3 linked regions of the Struthio camelus genome follow. The protein of the gene in region 3 interacts with the protein of the main gene of each other region in a pairwise test. Links are inferred from orthologs where the notes say so. Each region holds a gene or a part of one and is shown on either strand. Other genes may lie near its edges.

Region 1 (7,743 bases), on a different chromosome or scaffold from region 3:
CTGCAGACTATGCTTCTAGTGATCTGCAACTGCACCACACAACCAGCTTCCAAAGAACAACTGCCAATTTTCTCCTCCCACGGCAAGAACTCTGGACTACAGCATCAGGACTGGGTACAGACCTCTCCTTTTTCTGAGAGCATCCTGCCCATTCCAAGTCTATGTACCCATCGCCGAGATCCTCACACCAGATGAGTACCATCCCTTGGTGTTACCTAAAGCAGATCACCTTTGCATGGAAATATATACAGCTATTCACAACATGGACTCTAACTCTCCGCTGTTGTCTCTAACTCTCTGCAGGTAGCTCTGGTCTCCACAAAAAGATTCCTCCCCCTTTTCCTGCCATAAAAAGATCACTCTCCTGATTTTCTAAAACTCCAACAGAGATTATGCTAACAAAGCATCTTGTGAGCACAGAGTCTTCCCCCTGACCTGTGTTTCGAAAAGGGGAACACAAACTATAGCTGTTTTCCCAGCATTGCAGCATTTTGATCTCCTCTACCTGAACTCATGAAAACTATGATAGCATGGACCGCGGAAGAAATTCTCAGAGAAGTGCTCAAGAGGTTCATGCAACTTCACAGATGTGACAGAATGCAAATACAGAAGCAAAGATCTACTTTAGAGTTGCTAGGAAATCTGTTTTTTTCAGTTCACAAAACAAAAAAATGCACAGGGCTCTCCAAACAAGAGTACTTTGCTGCTCTTCATCACAGAACTACTAACAAGCTTCAGCAGGGAAAGTACCAAATACATACACATGTATAAGTCTCTGGTATAACTAATTTAGATGTTAGCAATTCAAATAACAGTATGAACATCCACAGAAATAAATGTACACATCAGACTAGTAATTATCTGCACGAATTGCACAAACCATCTACGCCACTGGTTGTATACAGATCTCTATACCAGATAAGCCAGGCTCATAGACCTTGTATTTGTAGTTGCTACACTAAACAATTTGCAGTGGACATAGCTTTCTAACTAGGAACTACATTATTTGCCATGAATTAGAAACTCAAATGACAATCTAGCTTTGAATCAAGCCTGTAGTTGGAGAAGTCAGCATCCCTGGCGGAGCAGAGAGGCAGACAGCAGAGGAAGAGCAAACACAGACAAGAATCACTCTTGTAAGGAACAAAAATATTTTTCATTAATAACATTAACCTCCTCTTTCATTAATTAGGTATTGGTAGATAGCAATAAAATTATTATAGATTGTATACACCACATGAGCACTTCAGAAAGTCCTGCAATATTAAGCAAGAATATTTATTGTGTATGCATATATATATGTGCATGTATATAAATATATATATATTTTAAGTAATAAATCTGAAAACACACATTCTGTAGAGAGACCACCAGTCTCTTAGAAGAGCTGTGCATGGATTTTTAGCATCTGTGATTTTATTATCAGTGGCTATTTACCTCAACGCAATCTTATTACATGATTATTATTATCTGTAATACAATAATACTTTGAAAATCTAGATCTCGTCATAGATTAGATCTCACTGTTTCAAGATCTGTATAGAAACAGTTCTTTTACACAGACATTCCATGAATGGAATCTGTAGGTATTCTCCTTAGGCACTACATAAGATAACCAATATGCAATACCTCCTACTATTTCTTCACAATGTTAAATTAAAGACAATCACTTGAAATTGAACACAGAAATGATGAAAAATACCTTGTGGCAGGTTTGAAAGAATCTTAATATTAAAACCCAATAAATAAGGAAGTTTAATACCCACCTTAACGTTATCTGATTTCAATTCAAAATCCGTGTAAAGTCCTTTCATAAAACCTGTTACTCTGATTACCTTCAAAACAGAGGAAAAGTAACAGGTTAAGAAAACTTCTTGATTTTTTTTTTTTTAAGAAAACATTTATGGACAGGAACGGTCTCTGTGAACTTCCTGACAAGAGCAAACGTATCAGTCTTACTTTCAGAGAGGATACGTCATTTAGAATTAGTTCTAGAGCAGGTTCAGAGGTGTGCTGTATCGCTGAATATGCTCTCGAACATGTTTCAGTGAAACTTACTCCTTCCTTACTGTCCCTTCCCACTTAAACCCATACTTAACCTTGATGTTTGGGAACCTTGAAGGCTGAGACACATGCTTTTCAAATGGCAATGTTAACTTAGCACCAGGGTACAGGATTTCAACGCAGCTCTCGGTTATTCCCTTATTGATTTCTTTACATGCAACTACATACAAAAGCAGAAGCTCAGTAAGTACAAAAATTAAGATTCATTCTAAGCGGGAGGTGGAAAATCAAGCTGCTTCAACGCACACTTCATTAGCATTTACAACCTTCCAACAGCAGATTTCACAAAAGACCAGCTCCACACTGGACCGGAGGAAGAAGTCAGACCCCTTGCCTGGTCTTAACCCCCCGAAAGCCACGCTAAGAAGCCGGTTTACGTCTTCCCCACCGCGAGCTGAGCTTCCGCAGCCGCCACCCCCTGGGGCCACCCAGCCCCGTGCGCCCCCGGGGGCTTGCGGGCAGAGCTCCGGCCTCCTCAGGCCTCACCTCCTCCAAAGGCCAGGGGCTCTCCCGCCCCACGGCGCGCACAGCGGCCCCGCTGCCCCCCGCAGGCCCCTCCGCCCCCGTCAAGGAAGCGGGCCAGGCCGGCCGGCCGGCCCTGTTGCCTAGCAACCAGCGGAGCGGAGCCGGGCCGGCGGCCAGGCTCCGGGCCCACCTCGGTGATCACGTCGTGCAGGTAGCGGAAGGGCGGCTTGCTCAGCAGCCGCTCCGTAAGGGGCGGCTTGCGGATCACTTGGCCCAGCGACTCCTGCGTCCGCCGCACCACCGCCTCGTTCATAGCGGCGGCGGGAGCGCGCCGCCGCCGCCGCCGCCGCCGACTTCGAGCCTTCCCAAGCTGCCCCGCGGCGCACGGAGCCTCACTGCACAAGCGCAGCTCCCACGACGCTGTTGCTAGGCGCAGCGGCGCGGCCCTAGCAACGGGCCCCCGCGGCCATGTTAGGCCCCGCCCTCGCCTCGCCCGTGCTAGGCCTGGGCAAGGTAGTGGCTGCCTCAGGGCGCCCCGCCTTGCCCCCAGCCCAGCAACCCCCCCCCCCCCCACATACGCCCTCCTACCTTGAGGTCACTGCCTCCTCCAGTGGGGCCTAAGGCCCTGCTAGCTCTGAGGGACCCAGCTGCCAAGGGAGTGTCTTCAGGGGGGCTAAAGCCCTGGGCTGGGCTGCCTCTTGCTACTGCCGGGAGTGGGAGCGGGGCGCTTTTTGGTTGTCAAGTACCTGCAGGAGAGGAGGGTGTTGCTTAAATTTGGGATCTGTTTGCGTGTTAACCTCTGCACCCCACCCAGTGATGCCCACTGTGCGCCAGGGATGAACGGGAGGATGGATGCCCTTGCCCCGTGGTCCTGCCCGGAAGCGCCCACGGGCGCCTACCCTGTGTGTTGCAGAAAGCGTTTTCCTTTGCCCCGCAGGCCAAAACTGTGTTTTCTGTTGCAACGCTACTTATACGATGGGATAAGATAACGCCTTATCTTGCTGTCCTGGTAATAAGTCAAATCTAGAAAACCATGACATTTCCACCATGGATATGCAGGTCAGGCCTAGGGCATGAGCGCAGCAGGACCAAAGCTTTGAGGAGGTGCTGGACTGGTTTTGCCTGACTGCTGTTCAGCAGCCCTGTGCCTCCAGGAACTGCCCCAAAGACAAGCCGGCAGCACGCACACGCTAACTCCAGCTCTTCCTGGCAGCTGTGGAGGTACCGCAGGTGCTGTGGGGCACACTTGTGTGTGAAGACCTGTCTCCCAAGTGCCCAAGTCACTTTGCCTGCACAGTCCCTCAGGGTAATATATGTGCTACCAGCATGCGAATATGTATTTCTGTCTAGTCCGACTCTTGACTAAATAGTCCTAAAGCCTTGCATGGGGAGTAGCCAGAGCCAGCTAGTTCAGAGTGGCCTGATGGTCACAGGTCCATGTGACTTCACAGGTAGCATGGAAAGAATTTTGTCATGTATCTGTCAAAGCTTAGTCCCCTCTCCAAATGCTGTTCACAGAGTACTTTACAAAATAGAAGTAAGATGTATCTGTCAAGATACAGCATAATTTTAAACGTATCTAAGTCTTACTCTAGGGCACTCAAATTGAAAGTGGATGCAAGACGTAGCTCTTTTGACTGCAGAAACCTTTGGATTTTGTTTTAAAGCCAATGAAGTTATTTAGTAACAAAGATCCAAGAGCAAACAATTGGCTTCAGCTTCCTAAGGTACTGAGCTAGTCAAAGTTGAGTTCCTTACTCAAGCATTACCTACAACACGGGAACAAAAGATAGCAAGCCAGAATGTTTACTGAGGACCAAAGTTTGGACCTGAGGAGAGAGTGATTCCAGCTGCTTCAGAACTGCCGGATAGTTGTAAGTACAAGCCACCCGAAAGAAAAGGGAAAAAGTTTTGCTGCCCAGGCTGGCCAAAATTCAGCTCTATATTCAGACACTATTTACCAAATATAAGCACAGTGAAGCAAGTATAAGGTGTGGCAGCTTATTACATGAATAAAATTTAAGATCTGCGGGTGTCCAGCAATGTCAGAACAGCTGGAGCATCTGGGAAAGAGTCCCTAGAATGAACCCTAAAAGCATTTTGTCTGATACAGCTAGTCAAAACCCAATCCCTCATTTGAATAATTATCAGATAAATAGTGAAGCATTAAGTGTTTATAAAGTTAAATTATATCTTATGGTATTTTTTAAATTGTTCTTGACATAAAGAAGTAGAAAGAGTGAGATTGAGAAGAAGGAACGACATTCCAAATTCTCTGATCCTATATCACACTCCCCCTAAAGTCAGGACAAGCCAATTGAAGGGAAATAACAACACAGGACCACCAGCACCATCATTGTCTCCTACAGGGACATTCCTACCAGATAGAGTACTACACACTCTGTGCAACCTGCTTTGTGGTTCCCACCTTACAACCTTTATCAAAAAGCAAAAACTTTGTTTCCAAGTGCTTGTTCATGTTGCTTCCTATCTTCCTGATCATGTTTGGGGCCCTAGGAAGGAAAGTTCTGCTTTTCTGCTCAGCCCGTTGTGACCATTAATTTTTGAAATCTAAACTTCAATAGGGCTACATGCAGTCTGTACTGCTGTGCACTGTGACTGCCTGCCCATTTAACAGCCCAAATTTGCAGCTCCTCTGCCTTGCTAAATAGCACTTTGCAGTTGTCACACTCCTCCTAAAAGGAATTGTTACAAGTTCTCCCATGCCAGAACCAAGTCTTCGGATAAGACAGAGTAGAGCCTGAGTGAGAATGAATCAGACTCAGATTTAGGAACAAAAAGGAAGACTTTACAAAACAGATTTATCTGGTATTAGTTCAAGCATGGAAAGAGGTTATTTTTCTGCAGGGGAAGACAAGTGGACAGCTTGCATGCTGACAGAGTAATTACACCTGGGCCCCTGAGAGCAGGTAGTTCAGCAGGAGGAAGTTGTAGGGAAGCAATTTGTCTCTTCTCTCAGTCTGACACAATCATAAATTGATGCGGTTCCCAGACAGATTATGACTACAGGATCTGGTGAGCCTGGGAAGAAGACGACGTGTTGACAGCTTCTACATCCAAGGGCATCAGAAGGAGTCTCAAAGGAAGCAAGAAGACTGGGAAGAAGCTGCTCTGGGGAAGAAGGTTTGTTTATTTTGGAATCATGTGGTTTATCTGGACTTCTGCCACTAGCTCTCTATGGAGTGTTTGTAAAGCCTGAGAAGGAGTCTCTGGGGCTTTGTTAAATTTGACCTTTAGCATGCTTGTTTCACTGAAGAGGTAGTACCCTGAGGAAGCACGGCTCAATGTAGCTGAAGAATCAAAAGCTGGCAACTTACAAAAACTCCATGAATCCCTGTGGATCTAAAGGGAGGCACTGGAACTGAAAGAATTATCCTAAAACCACAAAACAGATAGCCTGAGGTTTAGTCTGGAGACTAGTGCATGAGGCTTAGTTTGGAGACCTAGTACTTTTGAGGACCTTGGACTAGAATTGCTAGTAGAGGTTGGGCATGTTGAGACCTTCTCACATGGGGTGAAAATACAGAGAGAATATCTAAGACTTGGTAAACACGGCAAAAAAGCAACTACGGTTAGTGAACTGTGTGAGCAGCAGAAGTGCTTACACATCTTTAACATTCCATTGAGAATCTCACACAATCCTCCTGAAGATGCCAGTAGGAAGTGCTGTTGACCACATAGCGTCAATAGGAGATGAAGCAGCTTACAGATTGACTCATGCCAAGATTCACAGATCTCGCACACGTTGCAAAAGTCGTCCCAGCATCAAGAGGGTCACAGAGAAACTTGCTGTTTCAAACAGACCACCACTACTGCAAGCAGCAAAAGACATAATGCATATTGCCTTTTCCTCCAAGTTTTACCTCCTTCCACAGCAGGAGACCCGACCTTTCCAGCCACTAATTTGACTTGATACCACAGAATTCCTTTGCTGAAGTAGGCTGCAAAGCAACAAGGTGGCACTACAATGCGTATTGCTAGCCAAATATTTAAGGCCTAACTGCTCAGCAGCTGGAATGGAAAGCTTCCTAGCTCTATTTTTCTTTATATACCACAAACAGTAGGGTATTATCTCCATTCCCAAATGACCTTATGATCTCAGTAGCATACATGTGCATATGTATATGTATATGTATATGTATATGTATATGTATTTGTATTTGTATTTGTATTTGTATTTGTATTTATACATGCAGTTCCCAACCTAGGTCAGCCAAACTACCAAATGCTCCTGAAAATTATAGATGCAGCCTGACAATGGAAAGCACCCACTTCCTGTCTCAGACACAGACATTTCTAGTATGGACCAGACCAGAGGACAGTGGTATCAGGGCATGAGTAACATGGAGGGACATGCAGACTACATGAACAGCTTTGAACAGCTCCTGCAACATTTTTAGTGATGGTAAACAGCTGAGCAGGGGATCCTGTCCAAATCCATGGGTAGTCTGTTGAACAAAAAAAGAGGAATTTTCTTGGAGCATAAAAAATGTTCTTCCTACGTAATTCTGGTTTTGTATTACTTTTGGGATCCTACTTTTTGGCTGTAACCTTGCAAAGAGCTGGAAGAGGCATAACAGATTGACAGGCTGCAATAGCTTCTTGAGACATAGGAAGGTGTTGTTTCTGTTTCTTAACAATTAAACTTTGCTTTAGCTGGAGAGTTAAACAGATACAGACTCTCTGGCTATATGCCCTGAGCCAAAGCTGCTAGAATAAGTGAAGCACCTGGTTGATTCACCTGCCCCATAAAATACTCTTTTTCTGAAACAAGAATGAAACGTGAGAGAATTCACCCAACTTTTATTGCCAACTGCACGATAAATTCTGAGGTTTTTCCATGCTTCACTGGGTTTCTAAATTTTAAGGTTTTTTGAAAGATAAAAAACCCAAGCAGTCTGTAGTTGTGCAGAATTCTAAAACAAGTGGGGATTTCTACAAAGATCATCACCGTATGAGATTTGGGAAGTTTACGTTGAAATCCATTCCTGAAGCAGAAATAAATAATCATACAGTCCCCCTTATCCTAACATCACAAACAGCAACCAGATCAAGTCCACAGAATGAGCCTGAGACAAAGAAATGATTGCATTTGCTTGGGAAACAGGCGTCCTTTGAACGTGCTCTAATTCCCTCGCCTCTGTTAAACGGTTGTGCTTTTTGTTTGCTTTTTTAAGTTACTACCACCCCTTG
Region 2 (7,232 bases), on a different chromosome or scaffold from region 3:
TGCGTCCGCAGCCCGCCCGGAGCGCGCGCCTGGCCCGCCGATGGCGAGCAACAACACCGCGAGCATCGCCCAAGCCCGCAAGCTGGTGGAGCAGCTGAAGATGGAGGCCAACATCGACAGAATAAAGGTAAGGCGGGATGGCCAGCGGCGCCGCGGCCGGCGATGGGGAAAAAAGATAGAAAAAGAGACTGTGCTCGGGCGCGCGGGCGCGTAGCCGCTCTGCCGCGCGCGCAGGGGGAAGGACGATCCCGCCTGTGCCTGACGCCCCGCTCCTTCTTCCAGGTGTCCAAAGCCGCGGCAGACTTGATGGCGTACTGCGAAGCCCACGCCAAGGAGGACCCTCTCCTGACCCCCGTCCCGGCCTCCGAAAACCCCTTTAGAGAGAAGAAGTTCTTCTGCGTGATCCTGTAACCCCGCGAGGAGCCTGACCGGCGCTCAGGCCACCCTGAACACTGATGTAGAGTTTTTAGGAACGGGGACGACCTGGTAGTCCACAGAATTTAAACAAAACCAAACAAAAAAAAAATCAGTAAAAAACGCGGCCTGGAAGCTACGGAGATGTGCATGTTTAAAGAGCCTGGCCGCCTTTGGGGGAATAAGGTGATCTACCTTGCGAGGCAAAAGATCTGAAGTCTGTAGAGTTGCCTAGAAAGAAAAACAAAAATATGTAAAGAATAAATCTGTGTCACTTTTCTGCTCACAAAACTTGTTTGATTGTTCCATGTCCAAAGCACTAGAGTCGTGCTGAGCAAAGTAAATTGCTAAGGATGTGTATAACCTTACTGGAATGATGTTGTCGGGTTTTTTCCAAATACGATTTTTTTTCTTTTTATTTAACTTGTCGGATATATAGCAACAGGCTAGATTTACTATGAATGTTCCTTAACGTTTGGTCTTGTGCTTTTTAATTTTTGGCGTGAGGGTAGCGCAGAGATCGGCTGGAGCGGCTGCCGCGCGGGAGCCAACGGAGCCGTGCGGCCGCCGTCCAGCCCCGGCGGCGGCTCGGCGCCCGGTTCGAGCGAACCCCACTTTCTGACGTCCTGTACGTGGTAGCTTCGACTCTGCAAGTAAAAGTGAACCGTTGTGTCGTGGTGGGTGCTTCGTACTTCTGTGACGACGTTTAGTGCATGGGAGTGAGCTGCGTGCAGCCGCTCCGCCTTTTCTGCTCTGTTGTTTTGAGGCCGCGCGCTGGTGGGAGAAGCTGTAGAGAGGGTAAACCGAGGCGATCCCGAAAGCCGATGCCTTCGCCGGGCCTGAAACACGTGCTGCGCGAGGGGAGGGTGAGCTCTGGGGGCCGGCAGCCCGCGCCCCGGCGCCTGGAGGTAGCTCGAAACCCGAGCAAGTCGAGTCGACCGCTTCTTGGTGGGCTTTCTCCGACACCTCCGTGCCTCTCCTCTGCTGCCGTCCGCTTCTCCTGGCCACGGCGTCACCCCGCCGCCGGCGTCGGGGCCGGGAGCCCTCCGGCTCCGCTTCCCCCGCCGACGCCGGGGAGCCGCTCGCTCGGTGCGGGGTGGCGGCGCCGCGTCCCTCCCCGGCCTTTCGGTGGGACGCGGGCCACCACCTCCGGCCGGGCAGCTCCGAGGTGGCTCTGCTGCGCCGGCTGCAGGCTTCCCGGGAGGCGACGGGCAGCAGGTCGTTCCCGGCCTCGGTTTCCTCGGCCGCCGGCCAAGGCGCGCTGGCTCGGGGCGGCCGCGGAGCTCAGCCCCGCGTCGGGCCGCGCCGACCTCTCTCGCTTGGTGGTGACGGAGCTCTCGTTTTTCCTCCTCGTGGAAACTCCCGGGGCGCTTGGAGACCCTTTACTCCAGGGTTGGCCGAAACCCTGTTAAACTCTCGTCCTCCATCAGGTATCAGCTTAAAAAATAATAGGCGCGTTGACGAGGGCAACGGTCTCCGGGTACCTCTCGGTGGCTCTTTCTAGCCCGTGACGAGCGCGTTTTGGGTTTTCTACCTTTTCATACTCTTTTTCTAGTCTTCTGGAGAGAAGCCCCCACCTTGTTCTTAACCCTTTGGGCGCCTGGGAAGGTTTATAGGAGGGGAGCAGGCTAGACGGGCCGAGCCGGCCCCGGCCCGCCTGGCCGTCCTTCTCCCGCGGCTCGGCGAGCCGGGCGGCCGGGTCGGCGACGCAGGCGCAAACGTGCCGTGAGCGGTTTGCCTTTGCCTTTTTCACGCCGATTTGCTGCAACGGCCGGCGAAGCGCCGCCGGCCTAACGCAGGGCCGGGGAGCCCCCGCGCCGCTCTCAAGCGCGGTCATGAAGTGCTTTGTAATGATTTATTTTATTTTATTTTATTTTTTAAACGACTTGCGTGTTTTACAACTTGAATTCTTACGAAAAGAAAAATAAAAACAGGGAAAAAAAAGCTGCATGAGAAGCATAGAGGGGGATATGTGAATTAGCCTAAACTGCTCATTGAAGGTGTTTTACGTTTCTGGTCGGGGTTTTTATTTCCGTGCTGTTGTTTACATAGGTGCGCTGCCAGAGATTTCGCCCCGGGATTTATATTAGCGCAGATATGCCTTGGTTAGCGAAGTAGAGCGAGCGCCTGCCCACACCGCGTCCCCCCTGGACAAGCGTGAATCACCTCCCCGAAGTGATGCTGTATTTTCAGCGTGGTCTCAAATGCCGTTAATCTCTACCCCCGGGCTTTTAAAGAAAAAGAGTACTGGAGTACTGAAATGGGACTTTTTCCTCTTTGTTTTTGTTTTTTTTCCCTGCAAACGTAATTCATGGCAGGGGGGAGTGTGCCGCCCTGCGGTACCCGCGGTGGGAGGTTTCGGGCAGAGGGGCCGCGCGAATGTCCATGTTGGCGTGTGTGTGGGTGGGTGGGTGGGGGGATGGACTTAAAAAACCGAAATAAAACAAAAAAAAAACCCCAGCGCGGGGCAAGTCGGAGTCGTGATGTAGCGCGCGTTCCCCCATCCCACGTGGTCAATGTAACTCGTTGGAAATAATAAAATTTTGGATTCGTTTCAGCCCGGCCTGTCTCTCGTCCTTTGGAAAGGGCGCCGCGGGAAGCGGGGCGCAGCCGGGACGGCTGGTGCCCGTGCAAGACCTCGCTGCTCGTCCGCGGCGCCCCGCTCAGCAGAAGACCCTGCGGGGTGCAGAACAAGGTGTAAGGATGGGATTTTGGCTACCAAACCTTCCACCTTCGAGCCAGGCGTTGGCTGTGGGCGGGTGAGCGAGGGCCAGAAACCGGCACCGCTCAGCTGCTTTCCGCCTCCCTCCCTGTCGATTCCCCGGGGCTCGAGCGGAGGTTTTATCCTCCACTCCCCTGGCTTCGGTTCCCGAGCTGGCGCGGAGGAGGCGCGAGCCAAACCCCGGCAAAAGCGCCCTGGTTTCGGCCGGGTGCGATGCCGGCGGGGCGGCGCGGGGCCGGTTGCCGGCCCCGGGGGGATTTGCCAGCGAGGTGGGAGCAGGGATGGGGCGGGTGACGGTCCTCGCGGGCTGTCTGCAAGGCGAACGAGAAGGAGGGAAGCCTTCCTCCCTGAATCAGGGATGAGGAAGGTCTGCAAAGCCCAAGCCCCACGCTAAGGGTTGGGAAGGGCTCTGTCCTGAGGGGCGGCAGAGGAAGGAGAGGAGGAGGAAGGACCGGGAGCCCTGTGCCGCTCCTGGCAGCGGGGCCGGAGAGGTGGGAGAGTGCCACGAAACGGCACGGCTGGGGAGGACGAGCCGTGCCGCGCCGGGCGGGCTCCTCGGCTCCGACACCCCAGGCCTGGTGAGGATGGAGAGAAGGGCTGGAGGGCTTCGGGCCAACATGGGGCTCCACCAGGTGCTGGCCGGCAGCTGGCGCGCGGCGGGGGGCCACGCGCGTTCGTCGCCCCCGACCCTAACCTCCTAGCCCGGAGGTTTGGCCACCTAAACATCTACCGCAGAAACTTGTCCCCGCCGTAAACCGCAGGTATCGCAAAAACCAGAGCGACCCTACGACGACTACAACGTATATTGGGGCAATAACCCCCTGACGGAAGACGGCAGCCACTTGCACCCCAAAAAAGTGGTAACCGGGGGAAAAACCCCACCCTGGGAAATGCCCTCCGGCCTGGTGTGTGGGGCAGCCCCAGTCCCCCCCCAGTATGTCCCACTTCCCCCCAGTGCTCCCCACGACGGCCCACTGCGGCCTACACGCCCGCCATTTCCCCACCCGCCCGCTGGCTCAAGCCCCGCCCGCTGGCTCAAGCCCCGCCCCTGGCTCAAGCCCCGCCCCCGCCTGTCCCCATCCGGCCGGCCGGCGCTGTCAATAAAGCTGCACGGATACCCCTCGTTCCCGGCAACCCCCTTCCACGCTCTGATTGGCGGCGGCGCCTGCCGCTCGGCGAGCGAGGGCCAATGGGAGGACAGAACGCGAAGGAAGGGGCGGCACCTTCCTGTGCGCTTCGGCCTGAGGGGGCGGAAGAGCGGCTGGGCCCGGGCCTGAGCGGAGGCGCCGTTGCTGCCGGCTTCGGTGCCGGCGCCATGTTCCGCCGCAAGCTGTCGGCTCTCGACTACCACAACCCGGCCGGCTTCAACTGCAGGGGTGAGGGCCTGGGCGGGCTTCACCGGGCCTTTGCGCGGCCCCGCTAGCAACCGTTTCCCTCCCGCACTAGGCCCCCGGGCCCAGAGGTGTTTTTGTTTCCCCGCTCTTGTTGCCTCGACGTTTCGCCCCTTGGAGTGGGGCTGCTGCGCGGCGGGGCTGCTCCCGGGGGCCGGAAAAGAAGGGAAAAAAAACAGGGTGAAAGCGGCTGCGAACTGGTGAGGTGCGGTGCGGGCCTTGCAGCCTGTGTGAGGCAGCTCCCCGAGGTCGGAGTTCAGCCGCAGCTCGCTTTGGTCACGGCGGACAGTGCTTCTCGTTCAAGGAAAATTCACTTTCTCTTGGGAAATTCAGGGCCACCGGGTGTTGTAGCGGTCGCCCGTGGGTAGCTTGGTTCTAGCAGGTTTTTCACTATCGTGTAGAAACGGAGCAAAAGCAAAGGTAGAATCCCGTAGCCTGGGGCAAAGCTGAGGTAAGCTCCTGGCAGTCCTTGGCCTGCCCTCGTTACGTCTTGCCTTTACGTAACGCAGGAAGCAGGTGTCACCGGTCCTGCAGGACGCACCCTTAGTTGCTCTATGAACCTGCCTGGTCCCAGGAATGTGGTTTGTTCTGTGCACTAACAGTAGCGTGGTAACCTTGTTAGCTCTTAATACGTTGATGTGTGTTAATACTTTGATTTTTTTTTTTCTTGCAACCTTAATTTTCTGTTGTTGTTCAAAAGAGCAGTATGAAATATGTATTTAGCCAGTGTGATCAATTGTATGCTTTAAGCAATCTTTTTCCTAGACTGCCTTTTAATGATTCAGGTAGACTGGCTTCTCCTTCAAGAGGTTGTCTACTGCCATCATCTTTTCTTGTGTATCTAAACTTCTTTGTAATTAGCTTCTTAAAAAAAAAAAGCTTAATTCTGCTAATCTTTAAGTGTCTTAGTGAAAGCTTTTCTTCGCACATGTTGTGACTCTGTGTCTGTTTCTTAAAGTGCATTCAACAGAAATAGGGCACTTATGTCTCTCAGAAGACGCTGCTGAGGAATAGGAATAACGTTCTTCTTCCTGATGGAAGCATGGTATTGTTAACCCAGGCTGAGTTGCAGGAGAAACTGCCTCAGGATATTAAAACTCACCCAATGCCGAAGTGTTACCACTTATTTTGAGGGGGCAGTAGTACTCTAGGGCTGTGATTTCCTGTGTCTAGAAATAAATTCTGTCACTGAAGAGCAGGTGCAAAATAATTACTTTGTCCTGTACTAACATTATTGTTTGGACCACGGTCTTTGTATTGTGGAATTCTGACTCCAAATGGTAAAATGTTGAGTCAACAACAATGAAAAAATACCTTTGCAGAGTCACGGGATGTGTGTGTATTGTTCTTTAGAAAAGACTGGGTGTTATTGCAACATGTGATATGTTTGTCTAGGCAACAGGGTTAGTAACTGAATTTCTCCATATCATTGTTTTACTTTTCTTTCTTTACCTAACAACAATCTGTTGGTTGATATCTTTTAGTTTAGTTGGTCAACCATAGACAATTAGGTGACTTGAAAATAAAAAAACACTCATAGTGCTGAGTTTTGGTCAGAGGTTATCCTGAAATACAGTTTCAGTGGTAGATGCATCTTTCATTGTGGTAAAACACTGAATGAGATGCATCAGAATTCAAGGGCTGGGTTTTGCCCTTGAAATATTTGTTGATTCTTGTGTGTTTTGTTTCTCTCTATAGATGAAACAGAATTCAGAAACTTTATTGTCTGGCTTGAAGACCAGAAAATCAGGCACTACAAGATTGAAGACCGAGGGAACCTAAGGAACATACATAGTGATGATTGGCCCAAATCTTTTGAAAAGGTATTTTGTTGTTTCAGGCACAAATTTAAGCTGTGAAGCTGTCTTGTGTAAATAATGATAAATAGCTTCTGTAGTTGTAGAATGTGAATTACTGTGAATATTTGTCCTTTCCCTGAACTTTTACACTTCCCGTAACGTAAATGTATAATTGAAGCCGAACTATAGCAGATATTAAGATGGTAGAACTTCTTGTACATAATTTTCATTCAACATGGTTTTGCAGTAGCTGGTTTCTTAGTCTGTTTCTTACCTGAATTGATTCTGCTTTTGATAGAGGAAGAGAATTGACTACAAATAACAGCTTTTTCTGCATTAGTGTTTTTGTGTACCAAAAGTAAAATGGATCAGGCTAATGCAGTCTTAGACTTTGCAAGCATATAAAAGAAAGAACAGCAGCTGCCCAGAAAAGCTGCAGTAGATTTCAGATGGATGATTTTTCCACTGCTTGCACGAAGCCTGGCACAAATCCATAGTTATGTGAGTGATCTCCTGTGTGCTCATGAGCATTTTGAGTCACCATGGAGCTGTTCTAGCTTTCCCTCTAGGTTCCCACGTCCTCTTTTTAAAAAAACAGCCTTGCAAGGAGGTGAAAATGCTGCTCCGTAATGCTAGTTGCATGTAAATTGTCTTTATTTCACTGGAACTTTTTGCCTGGTTTGCTGTCCAGAAGGATTGGATTTGGCACCTTTGCAGGAGGGAGCCTAAAGAAAAGATCCAAAGTTGATGTCAGGGTAATGTTAGGAGTTTTAAATACATGTGATATCAGAACTACTGGCTGCTGATGCTGTTGTGGTATCAGCAGTACGAGTGTTGTAGTACTGCAGCTCCGTGTCATCTTTCTTGACCTGGCCGGACTGTTCTTCTCACCTTGTCTTCCTCCCG
Region 3 (6,931 bases):
AGCCAGAGAAACACTCCTGCTAGCAGCACAAAAGCGGTCAGTAGCATGGGGGAGGACAGGAAAGAACAAATGGAGAAGTAGTAGCAGGGGGACAGGCAGGACAATTTCTTTGGGCGGCTGTGCCAGTTTATGCCAGTGCAATGAAACCTTGAAATTAAGGAACAGCAAAACGCTCCAGCTCCCTCCTGTCTAATGTAGGATAGAAGATAACCATTCAGCATCCGCTGCTGGGTATGCTCTTTGGCTTAAGTTCCTGTGCCCCTCCCATCCCACTTTAAAAACCTGACTACCTTCTAGAAGTGCAGAAGGGCTAAATGTTGGCGGGTAGATGCCTTTGTAAGCTCAAGACACCACACACAGTCACCTGTATCAGACTTTCTGTGGAGGGCTCAGTTCAAACACAGTATTAAAAACCAGAAGACTACTTTCACCTACTAGCATTTGCTTCAGAAGTCTATCTGTTTCCTGTACTTTTTCTCTAGGTATGCTTAAAGTCCTTTAGTACTTTCTGGTTTAATTAAACACATTGATATTAGTACATGCAACGCAAGGTAAAGTCACTTGAAGCAGAAGTGGTGAAGTCTAGGGTAACCTTTAACCTTTAGAGATTTAACTGGACAGATTCACAGCTGTTCTTTGCAGCTGCAAAGAACTTTCTTCGCATTAACAGGGGTTCTTTCCAAGTACAGATCATTCCATGTTACTTCTGAATGTTAGCTTATGGAATATTAGCTTCAGTTTGATAAGTCTGATGTTACCTTTTGGCAGCTTTGGTCTGACTGGCTTCCCCAGAGCCTCTGTTGTTCAACATATAAAAACAACACGGGAATGGTGGTGAGCAGTGAAGCGAAAGTTTGCTGATGATACTTATTTAAGGTAGTAAGAACAAGGGCTGACTGCAAAGAATTGCAGAAGGAACTTATGAGGCTGAATGAGTGGACAATCAAACGACAGATGAAATTCGCTGTGTAAAAACTGAACTGGTACATACTAGGAAGTACAGTCCTAGCTTCTCAATAAGGTGAAGAGCTCTGAGATGACCACCATCACCAAGAATGAAACTAGGATCAATTCCATGAAAATATCAGCTAAGTGCATGGCAGCAGTCAGAAAAAAAAAATCAAATGTTAAGGAGTACTGAAAAAGGAACAGAGAATACAACAGGAAACATGAAGATGGTGCCTCTGTAAAAATCCATGGCTAATCTGCACCCTTGCTTGGGGTGACCTGCACTCTCATCCCCAAAAAGTCAAAACAGAAAAGGTTTGGAGACGAGCAACAGAGATGAACAACAGTATTGAGCGCGTTCTGTAAAAGGCATATCTGAGTAGGTTAGCATCGTGCAGTTTGGAAGTGGGATCACATGATGTGATAACCACAGATACAAAAATCACAAGAGGCTTGGAAGGATGGGTAACGATCCCCATTTCTTTCAGCATAAAAACCTGGCAGCTAACAGAGAAAACTAAGTCAGGCTCAAAACAAACAAAAGGAGCTGGTTCCTCATGCAGTCGGTGTAGACCTGGGGAACTCCTCACCAAAGGATGCTGTGTTTGCCAAAAGCTGAAGTGGGTTGAAAGGGACAAGCATTTGGGAAAGGGTGAGATTCATTGCAAGTTGCTGATCAGACAAACTAAACTGAGCTCAGGAAATCCCCTGATTTGACATCGGTCAGAGGCTGGGGGGGTATAAAAGGGAAGTATTGTATGTATACGCTTGCTTTGTTCCTACTTCTCTCTAGGCAACTGCATGGGATCACTGCTAGAGGCAAGAGAGTGCTAGATGGGCCCTTTGTCTGAACCAGTACAGCTGTTCCTTTTTAACAAGTTTATCTCCGAGTGATGGGAGCTAGTACTGATGTAAGCGGACATCATCATGATCAGATTCATTGCAGCAAGTCTGAAGAAAGGAGGAGGAGGAATTCCTTCCTGAATCATGTATTAGCTATTTTTGGCATGTGAGGCACAGCTGCTCACTATCTTCTCTCAAAAGTCAGGAAGGGCATAGATTAGAATATGAGGTCAAAACTCACTTAGCACGTCCTGTGTTTCTTAACAAATGAACTGAAACCCAAGAATATAAGTAAGCTGTCAGTCTTCAGGTGAAGGTGCACACCATATGCTTCTTTTTTTTTTTTTTTTGTAATAACTTTTCTGAATGAATGAAAACTTAACAGTAATCAGAATGGTATTCTAAATTCATAATAACAATTGCTGTATCTGAGAAGTCAAAAAATACTCTTGAAAGACTAGGATGGAAGGCATAACAAACCTACTGAAAAGGTAGAGAGTATTGAATGTATTTGATTACGGTCCCGAAAAATGCTCATTCCGTGTACATGGCTAATACTGTGGATATGACGATACATGACTGAAGAATATAATACTTCAGCAAAGTTTATACATAACTGGAGCCAGTGGACAATCAAAAACTTATATAAAGCTCATAGTTAAATAATTAAGGGTATCAAAAGAAATAAAACCGACTATATCAGTATAGAAGTACTAGTCACAGTGAAAGTTGATGCATATGTTAATTAGGCAGGTAAAGACAGATAGTAGATGATGGAGGACTGAAAACTACCTACCACAAAAAACAAGGGAGGGAGTTTTAGCAAAAATCTACGTTCTTGCAATGATATGAAAGCCGAGCAAGACAGCGTCAGGAAAGTTACGGTGATTTTAGTATAAAAAGGACTCTCTTCCCCCGTGGCGAATTTGATCTATCATCAAATTCCTGAGACTGGTCACACCTGTAGGAAACATGTACCAGAATGCAACTGAATTAACTTCACATTTTTGACATTCAAACCCACAACGTTAGCAGCTGAGACTCGTTGGATTCTGAAACTCAACCCAAACTGGTTGCAATGATTTGTTTTACATACATATCACAGCAACTTGTAACAAAATGAAATAACTCTACGTCTGATGTCAAAAAAGATCATTACCTTATGAAGGTAATGAAAGCAGATATGGTGTAGAGAGCATTTCCAAGCCTAAGTTACAGAAAGCCAATGAATATCTTATCGTGCAATTATCTGCATACATTGCTGTACTCAGTAAGCATCTGGCACAGAATGCAGGTCCAGGGTAGGGTTCCTGAAAAGTCACATGGCGACTGTAAGACCAAAGCAATGTACAGTATGGCTACATTTGAAAAGAAACCATTTCCTAATAGTGCTTTGGGTGCTTAAATTACCTTATGTAGCTATACCCCTAAAGATGGGGCAGTGCAAGGGTTGGCAGTCCTCCAGGAAAGGCAGGGAGGAGGCCGCGTGCCTCCTTCCACATAGCAGGAGCAGATCCTTCTGTGCTCCGGTCCCTTTCTTCAGGCTGATGCAGATGAGGAGTTGGCCTATACTCTCCCCATGTTCTCCCCTAATTTACGACAACATTTTGCAGGCCAAGAGGAATCGAGGCAGGATAACCTTGGACCACTACGTGGGCAGGCACCTGCCCTGATTTGGGAAGGATCCTTGCCTTCTAGGTCTCCCTACCGCTCTGTACGTAGGTATATGCAGAGAAAAGCCGTTATAGCACCTTTCCTCCCAGAGCTCATCCGCTCACGCGCCGTGCCCGCCGCCTCGGCCCTGTTACAACCCGCAGGGCACAGCCTCCAAACCAGCTGGAGAAGGGCCTTGTCCTCTTCCCACAGGCGGCAGCCCGCGCCCGCTCCCCCCGAGGCCTGCCCGCCGCCCTCTCCCTCCGCTGCGGCCCAGCCCCCGAGGCGGCCGGGCCGGAGGAGGGGCGGCGGGGGCCGCCGAGGGCTGCCGCCGGCGGTGGGGCGGGCTGCCGGCCGTGTCTCCCCGCCGGGGGAGTGGCCGCGGCCGCCTCGGCCCGCCGCGACTTTCCGCCCCGCTAGGCGCCTGCCCGCCGGGCTGGCGGAGCCGCGCCGCCCCTCCGCGGCCTGGGCTGCCGGCATGTGGCGGCCCCAGCCGCTGCCCCGGGCTGGCGGCACCGACAGGCGGCGCCGCAGCGGCGGCGGGAGGGAGGTGACGAGCCCAGGTGAGAGGAAAGCCCGCTCGGCGGCCTGCGGGGCGGCCCGGGCAGGGTGGTGGGGCGGGCGTGTGCCTGCCCGCGGCAGGTAGCAGCGGCGCCCCGGGGAGCGGCGTGCGCCTCGGCCGTGAGGAGGGGCGGGAGCGGGGCGCCTCGCCCGCCTTCCTGCCAGAGCCCCGTGCCGCCGGCTCCCCGCTCCCCAGCCGCTGTTCAGTTTCTGGGCAGCGCCCGTTCTCCTCCTTCCCCTTTGCACACCCGCCCTGCCGCGCCCGGCGGGGGCGCGGGTCTTCCCAGCCTCTTCGGCTGTGGCTGCCTCGCCCTCCGTGACCGGCGGCGGGCGGGCGGCCGGGCGGGCCTGCCGAGGGACCCGTTAGGCGGCGGCCGCGCTGCGAGGAGGGAGAGCCCAGCCCGGAAACAGCGACGCGCCGGCGGGGGGTGGCGGGGAGACCCTGCTCTTGAAGCCCGCGAGCGCCAGGGCCCCGCGCGGCGGCTGGGCGGGGGCAGAGCGTTAACGGTCAGCGGCGGGCCGTTAACGGTGCACCACGGCGGGGGGGGGGCGGGACGGCGGCAGCCGCGCGCGGCCGCTCCGCGCTGAGGTCGGGTACCCGCGGCGGGGGCGGCCACCACCGCCGCCCCGGCCCCCGACGGGGTCTTCGGTCAGGTACCGACCCACGCTATTGTGGGCCGGGAGAACTGGCACCAGGAGCTGGGAATCCTGTTAAAGTACGTACAGAAAGCTGAGTGCGGAAAAACTCAGGGCTGCTGGACAAAATATGGGTCTCTTACATCACAGTTTGAAAGGTTCTTGCTTTCCAGAACTTACACTGTAGATGTATCAGTTTTCTTTCTTTCTTTTCTTTCTTTCTTGTTTTTTTTTCCTCTGAGGGCCCGGTGATGTTAGCATTTAGTTCACAAAGAGGGTTAGCGCAGTAAACGTAATCTAGGAAATTGTGTCCTTGTGGTTAGTTCTTACTGGTTTTGTTCTTTACTCAGTACCCTACCTTCATCTGTGTGGAAGCAGTTATGTAGGTACAGAGATGTGTGTGTGTGTGTGTGTGTATATATATATATATATATGTATATATTTTAAACCGACTGCAAAGGGCGAAGTAACTGTACTCTTATAAGTCACTAGTTTATCAGAATAATATGTCTAAATGTGCTTTAAAGGAAGAAAAAAGAAAGTACCGTCTTAACAGAGAAGACAAATATATGTACATATTCTTTTATTAGTACCTGAGCGGGAAGAGACTGTGACCTCCAGTGTAGAGGAACGACCCTTATCATTCGTTACTCAGAGCAGCAGCCGCTGTGGAGCCAGGTGCCTGAGCTGGGGCTTTCTGCCTTGCTGACACTGGGGCTGGTGAAATGCTGCAGCAGTGGGGAAATTTTGGAAAAAGTATGTCACCTCCGTCAGGAGACTTCACGGAGCAGGGCATAATCGGTAACCACATGTATCAGCTACCTTTTTGCTTCTTTGGAGGTACGGTTCTCTCCTTAACTTCCATTAATCTAGCGAAACTTTATGCAGTCTCTTCTTGCTGTCCTTGCCAACGTTTCAATAGAAAACAGCTCATTCATGTTTTGGTAATCCACACTAATGTCTGTGTACGAGTCGTTGAATAACTTTTTACTGCGCTTCTGTGCAGTGATTTAAGAGCTCCGCAGTGAAGTGCTTTTATAATAAAGGCTTTTACAAAATGTCCTGCAGAACATATAACCAGCTAGTTCTACCGGTAACTAAAAGTAAATTACAGCTTTCAAAGAAATGAACAAAGTACGCTGCGATGCACTGTCTCGGTTTTTGTCCTTTTATATTTGCCCAAATACTTGCTAATTTGCAATTGGCCTTACAGTAATTAATGCAAACTGGAGAAGTTCTACTTCAATAAACTTTTCTTGTTGTTTAAATACTAAATGCCTTTAATTATAGTATATCAGTATTCCTCCATCTCATTGCTGAAGTTCAAGCTGTTATGTTTTTTTCTAGAAAGGCACTGATAGTGGCTTTCTGGTTGGAGTCACAGTAGATTTTTTCCTATCAATAACGCTTTTTGACACTTACAAAATGGAAAAGAAGGGATGTTTAAAATAAATATATGGCTTAAAAGAGAAAAGCTGAGTTTAGAGGTTTGTGGTTACGCAAAATATTGCGATGGTGGGGTAAGGGAATGTAAACAGAAGGCCAAATGATTGTAAATGGTGTTTTGTATGTTTGAGATTAAGGCCGAGTCCAACTCTGTGTTTTTTCTTGCTTTCCAGAACTTACACTGTAGATTTATCAGTTTTCTGTATAGTTCTTTGGGCAGTGAAAATAATGTATTCTCATTTTACTCGGCTAATGATTTACAGTGCTGCAGCACAAACCTTTAAAAAGTGGTGCTATAAAAATATGCAAGTATTATATTGCCACTGACTTCCTCCCTCTTTAAATTTAGATAAATCAGCCTTTGTTCTCTTCAGTAAAATCAAGTCAAAAGTTTGGGCCTAAGCTACTACTTGTGGAATTGTAGTAGGGTCATATAAGAAAAGAGGATTTATTAGCACCAGTTTAAGTTAATTGTAAAGAACAGAAAGACAGAAAGCACGACCAACAATGTTTGGTACTTACAAAAGCGAAAAACCCTAAAGGTTAATTCTAGCTTTGTTCACAAATTAGGCACACTCGGTTAGTTTTTTTCTGCTCGCTATAACTTGGGCCTCCTACAGCTACTGAACCACCTGACCTTTCAAATGAGATTTGCTGGAGTGTGTGACACCTCCTGAGTACTCATCAGGAGTTATGATTTTTTCGTTTTAGCATTTGGTTTCCTTGAGCAAACATCCTTTCCAATTGAGTGGTAGGTAATCTGCAGCCTCTTCTAGTTTTGGACATAATACTCCTGATAACAACTCCGGCAAAACTGATTTTGTTACCTCTTGTAGAATATCAG

The links. The genes of interacting proteins can lie anywhere in the genome.
Region 1: the proteins of DISC1 (region 3) and TRAF3IP1 interact in binary tests that used the Homo sapiens proteins (3 or more experiments, as listed by UniProt). The link is inferred for Struthio camelus from reciprocal best matches to the Homo sapiens genes DISC1 and TRAF3IP1.
Region 2: the proteins of DISC1 (region 3) and RTRAF interact in a two-hybrid assay, tested with the Homo sapiens proteins (2 studies listed by BioGRID and IntAct). The link is inferred for Struthio camelus from reciprocal best matches to the Homo sapiens genes DISC1 and RTRAF.

Annotation. Positions count from the first base shown.
Region 1 is NC_090947.1:2,128,274-2,136,016, reverse strand, and holds the start of TRAF3IP1 (TRAF3-interacting protein 1), read right to left. Parts: upstream 3,010-7,743; 5' UTR 2,843-3,009; coding exon 2,720-2,842; exon of another isoform or gene 2,551-2,719; intron 1,836-2,550; coding exon 1,767-1,835; intron 1-1,766.
Region 2 is NC_090946.1:80,587,620-80,594,851, reverse strand, and holds the start of RTRAF (RNA transcription, translation and transport factor protein), read left to right. Parts: upstream 1-4,223; 5' UTR 4,224-4,325; coding exon 4,326-4,512; intron 4,513-6,225; coding exon 6,226-6,350; intron 6,351-7,232. UniProt on the Homo sapiens protein: RNA-binding protein involved in modulation of mRNA transcription by Polymerase II. Component of the tRNA-splicing ligase complex and is required for tRNA ligation.
Region 3 is NC_090944.1:90,988,780-90,995,710, reverse strand, and holds the start of DISC1 (disrupted in schizophrenia 1 protein), read left to right. Parts: upstream 1-3,920; 5' UTR 3,921-3,922; coding exon of another isoform or gene 3,923-4,007; intron 4,008-4,701; exon of another isoform or gene 4,702-4,721; intron 4,722-5,231; 5' UTR 5,232-5,366; coding exon 5,367-5,481; intron 5,482-6,931. UniProt on the Homo sapiens protein: Involved in the regulation of multiple aspects of embryonic and adult neurogenesis. Required for neural progenitor proliferation in the ventrical/subventrical zone during embryonic brain development and in the adult dentate gyrus of the hippocampus.